3 linked regions of the Saccharomyces cerevisiae S288C genome follow. Changing the gene in region 2 together with the main gene of any one other region gives a genetic interaction. Each region holds a gene or a part of one and is shown on either strand. Other genes may lie near its edges. The genes, in order: NBA1, BRE4 and DET1.

Region 1 (3,731 bases), on a different chromosome or scaffold from region 2:
CATATATTCGAGCATTTCATTCATGTATTTATTAATATGACCAGATAATAAAGAATATTCAATCTCAATTTCTTTAACTTCAACTTCGAAATCTTTTTGTAATTGTTTAATTTCATCATTTAATTTATTGATTTTACCACTGATCAGTTCCTCTTGAATGAAAATGTCCGTTTTGTCAATCTTAGGTTTGATTTCATTTTCATATTTGATTTGTAGATCCATCAATTTAGTATCATTTAGGCGCGACTCTTCTTTAGTATCTTGCGATAGCTTTTCCAAATTCTTGAGTTGCAAATCTAACTGTTCTTGTAAGATTTCTAATTTATACATAATACCTGTTTCCAATACATTCATCAATTTCAGCTTATTGTTGATTAAATTTTGCTTTAATCCCACAAGTTCCGTTTCAGTTCGATTAGACTCTTGCACCTCGCTGGAAATTATTCTCAGCACATCATAGAGCTCACTAATTATGGTTTCGAACGTCGTCACTGTATCTTGCAAGTTTTTCTGTTGTGCGGTTAAGTCGTCTAACGTCTTTTTCCTTTGTATCAACAGATCATTTAGCTCTTTGATTCCCTCGGATAACTCTTCCATGTCTGTATTGGATATTTTGATCAGTTTATCTCGATTGGACTCTAATTCCACTATTTGGAAACTCAGAGCTTCCAGATCTTTAAAGATTGACTGCTTGGAGATCTTATAGTCATTATAATCTATGGATAACGTTTCTTGGATCTTGGTCAATTTCTTCAACTGAATTTCCAGCTCCTTATTTTGCTCTTCCAGCTTTTGGAGCTCTTGCTCATCAGGTATATTATCCCCATCTACGTCCTCGTATTGCTTTAGCTGTTGCTGAATCAAGTTATAATCATCGAATTTGGAGCGAAGCTGACCCAGCAACGATTCCATTTGAAGAATAAAAGAATTACAGTCGAACATTCGTTCCTCCCTAAAACGAGCGTAATTCACCACAGCACTCAGTAAGCGCTGTGTCCGTTGGGCTTCGGGCTTGTACAAATCTGTCATATTGAAATCTTGAACACCTATGTTCTCAAAGAACTTAAAGCAGATTTTGTTCAATACCAAAACATTTAACGTGTCCAAATAAATGTTCTCGTTCTCTTCCTGTAAGTGACCATCCCCTGTTTCTTGGTTACTACTATTCAGCAACGACTCTACAGAAATACCCATGAAGTTCTCGATGATTTGTTTGTAAAGGGTTACCATGTAGTCTGAGGTGGGCCTAGAGATATTTTCCTGTGTGGCTAGCGCAAAATCACAGCTTTGCAAACATATAACTAGTTCCTGTAGATCCAAAATGGGGAACACATCTTGATTCCTACTCATTTTGCTCAAGGGATGCTGGAGCCTTTCTCCTCAGTACATGCTTTTTACCAGTATTTTTTCATAATATTGTTTATTTTAATTGTTATTGTTTGTTACATGTCCCGATTCGGAAAAGCGATCTTTTGATCAAATGGCTGGCACCATCAAGAAGAGAAAGAACGCTGATATATTCGACTAACAAGAAGACCATTATCAAAACCAGATAGGTGTATAAGTATGTCAGAAGAGAGGGAAGAAAACGGGATATCTAGGGCTACGCTGAATACGCAGCGACTTTCAGCAATGATCGATTCACTGAACAATGAGAAAGATGACAGGCTCTTTCCATCTCCCACAACTACCAGGACAATGATCACAGAGGAAAAGGCGGATCAAAGTGATGTCTTTAAACCACCATCGAGATTGTTGAGATCACCTGCTGGTGACGTTTCGCTGCCACCTGGTGATAACAGATCAAGTATGATTTCCAACTACTCTGGAATTATTCAAGAAGGCGTTGAAGTATCATATGTGGTCAAAAACCGGCAACAGACCCAAGAACGGCGCACAAGTAAGGATTCCAATAGTTTGTACTCCTTGAAAGAGCCCGTGAGCAAGAACGAGTTACCGTCGTTGCCCATGTTGCCTTCAGAAGCGACATTGACAAAACATCTAAGTGATAACCAAAGCACAAAATCGAATACCAATGCAGACGAAATTGTCATTAAACCAGTTACTAATGCCAAACCTGTGGGAAGGTTTAACTCTAACACTTCAAAAAAAGTAGAGGGTCGTGGCTCACTGAAACTGTTATCTAGTCCTCTACGTCAGGAAAAAGTTATGCGTTCCTCTATAGGATCAGGTAATTTGGCCAGCGAGAGCGGATCTTCCACTTATAATACCAAATTCCATCAATCTATTCAAGAGCAGCTCGAAGAAGAAGAGGAAGGAAATGTTAGCGATAAGCTTTCAATTGTTTCCAGTGTCATACCCGAGTTGTATACAACCACCAACGAAGCACCCAAAGCGATAAACCCAATACGTTCTGAAACCAATGACTACAATCCAACTATTCCGCCCAGAAGTAAGGACCGTCCTAGGTCAAGGTTGTTCATCGAAGAAGGTGATGGCGAGGGGGATCTTTTAACCGAAGAAATATTACCAACGCCGGTCCAACCTGGTGGCCACTATAAGAACTCATCTCAGATTTCCACAGTTAGTGAACAAAAATCGGAATCTTACTATTCTGCGGCAACGAGTATGCCTCCAGAGGAAGAGACTTACTTGACAAGACCATTGCCCAGCACACCCAATGAGGATAGCAGAGTTACATCGAATTTGAAACGTGACGACACATTGAAGGCTATTCATGATAGGGCAAATCATACCTCTACTTCGACAAACAAACAAGATGATGACATGTACGAGGACATCATTGAGGAAACGCCCAAGAAAACTAAACTCAAGAAGGATACGAAAAAAAAGCTCAATAAAAAAAAATCTGTGAAGGAATTGCGATCCTTTGATATCGACACACTAAATCAACTGTTGAGTGTGACAAAGGGAACCTTAATCGGGTCTGAATTTGCGCAACTGGGGATGAAAATTGAGGAGAAACGTGCCCTGGAGAGACTAGTAGACTCTTTGTCCAGGTTAACAGCAGACATGGTTCTTGATCCGGACCGCTATGAAGAAGGACTGAAAAGATTAGACAAAGCTACAAAGGCTCTTGAAGGGTTTTGATGGTGCAACAACAATAATAATAGTAATAGTAACAGTGGTAGTAACAATAACAATAACAATATCAATATCAATATCAATAATATATTATAATACTAATAATGAATAATAATAATAGCAATAAGTATAGTATAGTATAGTGGTAATATATAAGTTTCTTTCTCTTCCGGTTTATTTACAAGTCATATACAAATAAAAAAAAGTGATAGTAATTCAATGGCTTGTATTCATTGATACTTGGACAAGTCCGGCATACTTAAAATTTCCTTCTCTTTATTTTCACTGAATTCTTGTAGCTGCTTCAGCAATTTAGAATTGGCCCACTTGTCAGGCAAGGGGCTGGTTTTGAAATTTTTTGTGGCCCAATAGTATATGTCCCAGTCCAACTCATTCAATAGCGAATCGTATTCTTCCAGTTCCTCTTCGTTCATCTTCTTCAAATATTTGGCAGCGAACCCAGATAGCAGCAAGTCCGTCTCCAAGATCCCTCTTTTGCGTGATTGATATATCAACCGAGCTCTTTTCTTATCCAATGGCTCGTTAGTTCTCTTTATGGGGGCAATTTTAATCCTCGTCACCACATCGTCGTGGTCATCTTTATCACTACTAAACCACCTACGACCGCACGACCATGCAGCGGACCCTGTTTGAGAGTTGATAAT
Region 2 (3,759 bases):
TTGGTTCTTGGCAGCATCACCAATCAATCTTTCTTCTGGAGTGAAAGCAACGAAAGATGGGGTGACTCTGTTACCTTGTTCGTTGGCAATAATTTCAACGGAGGATTCGTAAGTAGCAACACAAGAGTAGGTTGTACCTAAATCGATACCGATAGCACCTTGGAAAACACCTTCAGCCATTTTGTTCAATTAAAATACTGTAATGATCTTGGGACATCTGAAAATCCAAAAGCAAGAAACATTTTTTAAAGAAGGAAAAGCAAAGCGACAATAACTAATTAATCTTTATATAAAAAGAGATGAGTACTACAAAAGAAACGTCGAGCGAAGATGAAAAATTTTTCTTTTTTTTTTTTTCAGTTGCGTGCTATAAAAAAAAAAAAAAAAAGATTCATCCATACTTCCCGTTCGAAATGATCATAAATAACTGCGGTGTATGGGCTATGTTCCCATGACAACGAAGCTAGAATATAATTATAAGGATGAATAAGTATTGTTATTGAAAAAATGCACAATTAGGAACTTTTATATAGCTGTCTATTGGTTCACGGAAAGACTGTTAAGATACTTGGCAGCATGGTAGATAAATAGGAACTGATCCTTTGTCTGAACCATTTTCATTCTTTGCGAGCGCAACTGTAACACGATCTGTTCGATCAAGTCCCGTGTGTACTCCTCTGTAGCCCTGTCTGAATGCCTTGACCGTTCTGTAATATTTTTAAAATCCAAGGTATCATGCATGAGATGATCTAGGGCAATGAACGTCCCCGTTCTGCCCACGCCTGCGGAACAGTGTACGATAATGGGGTTCCCGCGGGAATTCAAGCTGTGGGAGTGAGCGCATAATTCCATTATGGGTACTACTTCCTCTGGCTTGTTCATATCTTTCCAAAGGTCGAAGTAAAAGTGGTGAACAGTTTTGACAGGTCCTACAAGAGGGTCCGTGGGTGTGAGTTTGATATCGGTGACCGTATAATAGTCCTTCACCTTATGTACGTTAACAAACTCTATTTTCAAATCAGAGGGAAATTGAGTCATATCATTGGCGCCGCCCGGACTTTCCCATTTTGATGCTATTCTAACCGTATCGTCTACACCACCGCGAGGCCAGTACTGGTAGCACTTCTCCCTATTGTATTCTACCAGAGGCGTGACCATCACAATGACAATATTGTCTAAAGGACAATTGTGATAGCACATTTGCCAAAACTGATCCCAAGTTTTACGCGTGGGACCTTGAGTAGCAATATAGTAGCCCGGTTCGATGCTCTGCCCTGGCACGTTCACTTTGACATACGAGGCATTAATGTAATCATTCCCGGATAGAGTCTTCAAATGAACGCGGTTCCTCTCATACGGCATAATGTTAACGTATCTGTTTCTAGCATCGTTACGAGGTTCTATGCTGACCCCCAACGACCATCGTGAATTCACCGTTCCGTTTGTAGCTTCCCTTAATCTGCCGTCTTCTTGATTCTGTATGAACTTGAATTTACCCAATAAATCCGTGTCACGCTGTCTAATATACCATGGTGCAGCTGCCATCTCCACTGTCGCAAACTACTACTAACAAACGCTTTTCTTGATAACTCCTCGATGAACCCTTTTCCTCAATAAAATGTAAATATAGTTTGCCTTCCTCTTAATAGTGTGTACAAATGAATTTTTCTAATACTAAACGCCCTAAAAATGACCTAATTAAATATTACGTTAACCTAAAAAAGTACAAAGAAAAAAATGGAACACCTACAAATTATAAACAATAACCCTGTCGCCCAAAGTTAGGTTTCCGATAAGACTTTTCAGTGAACAAAATCTGGAAATGAAAGGCGATATAACATTATCAAAGATGATTATGTATAGATTGCGTGAAATACGCGCAGGAAAACGAGTTTAAGCGTCACTAACACTTTAATCAATTTAAAGTTCATTTTTAACTTGCTTTGTGCTCCACTAAGGAAAGCATGTACAGTATAGTGCTGGAATTGTAACAGGTCCTCATGAAAAGATATGAGCGAGATCGAAGTCCCACTCCTGATCCTGATATTGTGAAAGGTTCATACTCTCAAACATCACTCAGGTCACTACATGAACTTAACTATAAGAATCCTGCCGGTATAAGCGGGCTTAGCTTTGCAGGAAGCCCACAACAATCCGTGGCATCCTTATCGCAAATGCGGCTGGAAAATTTGGTTAAGGACAAACACTGGGAGGAAGTAGAGGACTTTGGGCTGGAAGAGCTGAGAGATGGGTTTTTTGATGCTGCTTTTACCAAGCCGGACAGCAAAGCTAGGTCTCCTAACAGCGACATCGATGACGACAATGGCGCTGCAAGGAAAAAACTGCAATCTGGTTTTACCAAGCTTTCCGAATATGTTTGGACTGCTATCTACAGGCCCATTATTCATTTCCCTAGAGATATTAGAAAAAATGGGGTATCCATATTCAAGTTTTTTATTGCTTATTTCATTGCTATCGTGATTTGCGTTATCAGGCCTTCTGGTAGGTGGATTGGCCATGAGTTCAGGTATTTTCTACCCATCGCAGTACTTATACATCATCCGGTCAGAAATATTGGTGTTCAACTGGAAATGACTATAAGCTCCATTATCGGCGCAAGTTTTGGCCTGGGATGGTCGGCTTTGGCATGGTACATTTCCACAGCGACAAAGCCGACCGCAAACTACCAGGGAGGAATTTTATTTCAGAGTCTGACTATGGCCCTCTTATTTGCCATCTGGCTAAGGTCTGTTTACCGTCGGTTCTTCTATTTCACAACTTCGTTTTCGATATCGATTATATTCACTCATACAGTTCGGTTGGCCTCATCCAAGTTTGATTTGAAGTGGCAAATTTTTTGGGATTTTGGAATCTCATATCTCTTCGGCCTTTTGCTATCTCTCTTGGTTTGTGTATGTGTATCACCACATAGTGGCAATGCAGAGTTAATGGAACATTATAACAAGTGTCTACAGACCACAAAGACCTTTTTAATGGCACTAGTAGATACTGAATTAATAAAGTCCAAAGAACAAATTTACCTAGCCCAAGTAAAAATGGTGAAAACACTAAACATTGATTTATCTCAAGGTTTTAGAGATTTTGTAAATCAGTTGACAATTTCCAGGTTTGACCTTCAATCGTTGAAGAGTTTAAGAAATTCTTTAACTGCCATGGAAACTTCTCTGAGAGTATTACCCATTGCACCCAAAATTTTTAATGATGATGAATTGAAAAAGATGTATGAAGAATTGGAGAAGTATAGATCGGATTCTGCGACCCTGAGCAAAGAAGCAAGCGCTAGCCCTCAATCTTCAGGAATTCCAACAAGAGAAAACACGCCCAGTGCCTTTAAGCCTATCGGTCCGGGGCTTTTAAAAAATGAAATCTACATTAATGCATTAAAGGCGTCCTTCTCGAAAAGCATCTTCAACTTAATACTGGAAATGATCTTCGTTTTGGAAAATCTATCAAGAGTACTAAAGAAATACGAGTCTCCAAATCAAAAAAACAACTTAGATGAGTGTGTCAAAATATTAAGTCACTCGCATTCTAAATTAAAGAGGAAAATTTACAAACTAGATGTTTGTTACAGGGATTTTGTGAATTCTAGTTTTTTTTCACAGGAACTGTTGAATGACGAAGAGTCTGTCGATATTTTCCTTTTTCTAAGATATTTGAGAAACTCCGCAAGGCAGCTAGTTACTGTTATCCACGATTGCCAAGTTTTGGGTGAGAATATTCACTGGAGAATTGCTC
Region 3 (3,612 bases), 520 kb from region 2:
TTTCAACAATTTCCTTAATGGATTGTTTGGAACCGTTTAATTTAAAGTTACCACCGACAAAGAAAGTTCTAGCCATTTTTAGTTTATGTATGTGTTTTTTGTAGTTATAGATTTAAGCAAGAAAAGAATACAAACAAAAAATTGAAAAAGATTGATTTAGAATTAAAAAGAAAAATATTTACGTAAGAAGGGAAAATAGTAAATGTTGCAAGTTCACTAAACTCCTAAATTATGCTGCCCTTTATATTCCCTGTTACAGCAGCCGAGCCAAAGGTATATAGGCTCCTTTGCATTAGCATGCGTAACAAACCACCTGTCAGTTTCAACCGAGGTGGTATCCGAGAGAATTGTGTGATTGCTTTAATTAATTTCGGAGAATCTCACATGCCACTGAAGATTAAAAACTGGATGCCAGAAAAGGGGTGTCCAGGTGTAACATCAATAGAGGAAGCTGAAAAGTCTTAGAACGGGTAATCTTCCACCAACCTGATGGGTTCCTAGATATAATCTCGAAGGGAATAAGTAGGGTGATACCGCAGAAGTGTCTGAATGTATTAAGGTCCTCACAGTTTAAATCCCGCTCACACTAACGTAGGATTATTATAACTCAAAAAAATGGCATTATTCTAAGTAAGTTAAATATCCGTAATCTTTAAACACTATGTAGTTAGGTCTCCCTCACAATCAGTCCATTTGGGTAGCACGGTCCTCAGGACGTATCTATTGATGGATTCGTCCAGTTCCATCACCATTACGCTCCCGTTAGGAACATTGGTAAACGATTCAAACTCTTCGTATGTCCATCTAAACCATTTCATCAGGAATACTCTGGAATAAATACCATGTGTAACTAGGACAACAACATCTCTGGGTCTTCTCTCTTGCCTATCATGGAAGTGCCTGAATAAAGTCTCTTGGAAACTGGCGACTCTGTCATATACATCTGCCGCACTTTCTCCATGAGGGAATCTGAAGAAGAAATGACCATACGTAGATCTCTTCTTCATAACGTCCTGCATGCTATTGATTTTTTGGAAATTACCAAAATCTTGTTCCCTTATTCTTGGCTCATCCTTAACCCGATATTGCAGATAACATTTTCCAGGCTTCCCTTCACAAATATTATCTTCATTATTTTCGTAAACACCACCAGTATTATTAAGTCCTCTCGGCCAAAATGCATGTTTCTGTTTACCATGTGGATCATATCTCATATCTTCACATATACGAACACCACTGTTTAATTCATTATATTCATCGATGACGTCCAAAATACCTTTCAATGTTTCCCTTGCTCTTCTATAGGGTGATGTATAAAAAACTATGTTTGTGTCTTTTTCTCTACTCAGCCTGGTATAGTCCTTCAGCGGTAAAGTTCTCCTGCTACTTTCATCTTTAATATACTTCTTAGCCAAATCCTCCACCAAGTTGTGATCGTCTACGTTTAAAACACGTAATAAGTCAATACCAGCTTGTCTAGCTTGGATTTGACCTGTTTTCGTTAAAGAAATCAGATGGTTAGGAATATAACCATTGACCTCCTTGTTTTTATTTGATTCGCTTTCCCCATGCCTTATTAGTACAATTAACCTAGGTCTGGCATTCGTAAAAGAACCGTGACTGCCAGCAACATCTTCACTAACATGAACATTCTCTTCACACATTTCTTTTACTAATACTCTGAGTTATTCAAATGGAATGCTGTAGCGTAAGTTCTTTTATGTTGAACCATGAATACGAGCTGCAATTAATGCAGTTGAGAACTAGCTTTTTTTTTTTCATGCCTCTCGGTCTCTGCAGGATATCGGGTAAAAATGAAAACTGGGACATTAACCGCGGTGGGTACTCGATCATTATTTGTTCAGAATGAGTTATGATATGAACGGTAATTAATCTAGATGATAATATATATATGTATATGTATATATATGCAATTGATAATATATGGACGAGTAAATAAGAGTTAAGTCAATAGCAAGAAAGTAACAAGGGTGAATGAGAAAGTGATTCAATAACATTGCCGTTGATAGCTTTTTTGTTCCGAGCAGCAATGGAAACGGAACAATACTATTTTGATTTTATCACTAAAAGCTACTGCACTTTACGTCGTGTCCCTATATTTGAAATCTGAGATTTTCAATTAACGAGTCAATAGCCTCAAAATTTAAATCGTTTTCAGCGAAAGACAAATGCTTCTCAGAAACTATGTGTTGTTCTAAAGATTCGTATTTTACACGACAATTTTCACAGTATCCGGAATTTTTTACCGTTTCTTTCTTCACCGGCTGTGCTGTCTGTGCTGTCTGTGCGTTAAAATGTAAGGTGACGTTTGTGGAAGTTGATTTCTTCGATGCTGTTGGAGATTCTGTGGTTGTTATCTTGATGTCATTATGAACTTTGGAGTCTGCGGAGACTGATTTGGTAGCTACCTTAGGGAAATTCTGGGGCTTTCTATTAGTTTCTAAGTGTACAGCACTATCTTTGCCCGTCTCTTTCGAAGGGGCTTCGTCTTTTTTCAAAGCATTAAAATCTAATCTGTGTCTATTTTCCTTTGATGTTTCAGCAGTAGTTGCTATAGTGGCTGTATAATTTTTGTTATTTCCATTTGTCTGCTTTACTCCCAGCTTTCTATCAACCATTAGTCTACTTAATGACTTCATGTTCTTACTCATGACGCTTGCTCTTGTTGGGCCCAAACCATTGCCAAAAGAGGTTGCCACATCATTAGATTGATGTGCACCACTTGCTTTGATTTCAAATGCCTGACGTGACTTTGTTTTCAAAGTGCACAAATCATCCGGCACTTCTTCAGTTTCTTGCCTTGCAAAAGTAGCTAATACTGGATGGTTTAGTTTTGGTGTGGCAGCCAGCTCTTTTCGCTGTGGGTACTTATTCGATTCTTCTGCTATAGATTGTTTATTTTCTTTTTCTTCTTTCAACGGAGGCTCTTTGGTTTCAGTTTCATTTAATAATATACTATTTTTTTCATCGGTTTGGTCAGCATGTTCATTACGAACATCTTGAACTGCGCTATCATCCGTCTTCTTTAACTCGGTCTTCTCAAAATTTTTTGCCTTTTCTTGCATCCATTTTTTGAAGCTCTTGGTAGAATCGTTGCATGTGTGAGGTATGAATATTAGGTTTTTCGTTTGATCATTAACTGATGACGTATTCAGTAAGGTGTCGGCATGATATTGAAATAGAGCACGAAGTTGCAGTGCATATTTTTTGTTTGCTTTGTCTCTCGAGTATCTCTTTACTACGCGCTTATAAGAACTTTCGTCATAATTCCTATCCCCTATAAAAGGGCATCTTCCGAATGAACCTATTTTCAATATTGGGTAAGGTAGTTCGTCTAAGTTTGTTAGTTCTTGAGGTTTCCATTCCAAAGTTATTATGGGGGCCCAAGTTTGCCATAGGTCATAAAGGTATACATGAGGATATTTAAAGTAGTGAATATCGTCTCTTTTAGTTCTGGGGTCTCTATCCGTTGGTCCATATAATTTTTCATTGTGTAGAAGATTGGACAATGTGGGCGCAGCTAAAGAAGCAGATTTAGTCTTGCTCAAATGATCCAAATCAACATCAAGATTTTTCAGAAATCTGGCAGCC

The links.
Region 1: mutations in BRE4 (region 2) and NBA1 together harm fitness more than expected from each alone (negative genetic interaction), as found in Saccharomyces cerevisiae (one large-scale study listed by BioGRID).
Region 3: mutations in BRE4 (region 2) and DET1 together harm fitness more than expected from each alone (negative genetic interaction), as found in Saccharomyces cerevisiae (one large-scale study listed by BioGRID).

What each region holds. Positions count from the first base shown.
Region 1 is NC_001147.6:196,561-200,291, reverse strand, and holds NBA1 (Nba1p), read left to right. Parts: upstream 1-1,566; coding exon 1,567-3,072; downstream 3,073-3,731. Other genes in the region: kinetochore-associated Ndc80 complex subunit NUF2, read right to left, coding at 1-1,350; succinate dehydrogenase assembly factor SDH5, read right to left, coding at 3,297-3,731.
Region 2 is NC_001136.10:40,486-44,244, reverse strand, and holds the start of BRE4 (Bre4p), read left to right. Parts: upstream 1-2,000; coding exon 2,001-3,759. Other genes in the region: Hsp70 family ATPase SSB1, read right to left, coding at 1-180; tyrosine protein phosphatase PTP1, read right to left, coding at 538-1,545.
Region 3 is NC_001136.10:556,397-560,008, forward strand, and holds DET1 (acid phosphatase DET1), read right to left. Parts: upstream 1,665-3,612; coding exon 660-1,664; downstream 1-659. Other genes in the region: triose-phosphate isomerase TPI1, read right to left, coding at 1-76; protein serine/threonine kinase activating protein DBF4, read right to left, coding at 2,115-3,612. UniProt on the Saccharomyces cerevisiae protein: Metal-independent, broad-range acid phosphatase. Involved, either directly or indirectly, in the bidirectional transport of sterols between the endoplasmic reticulum and the plasma membrane.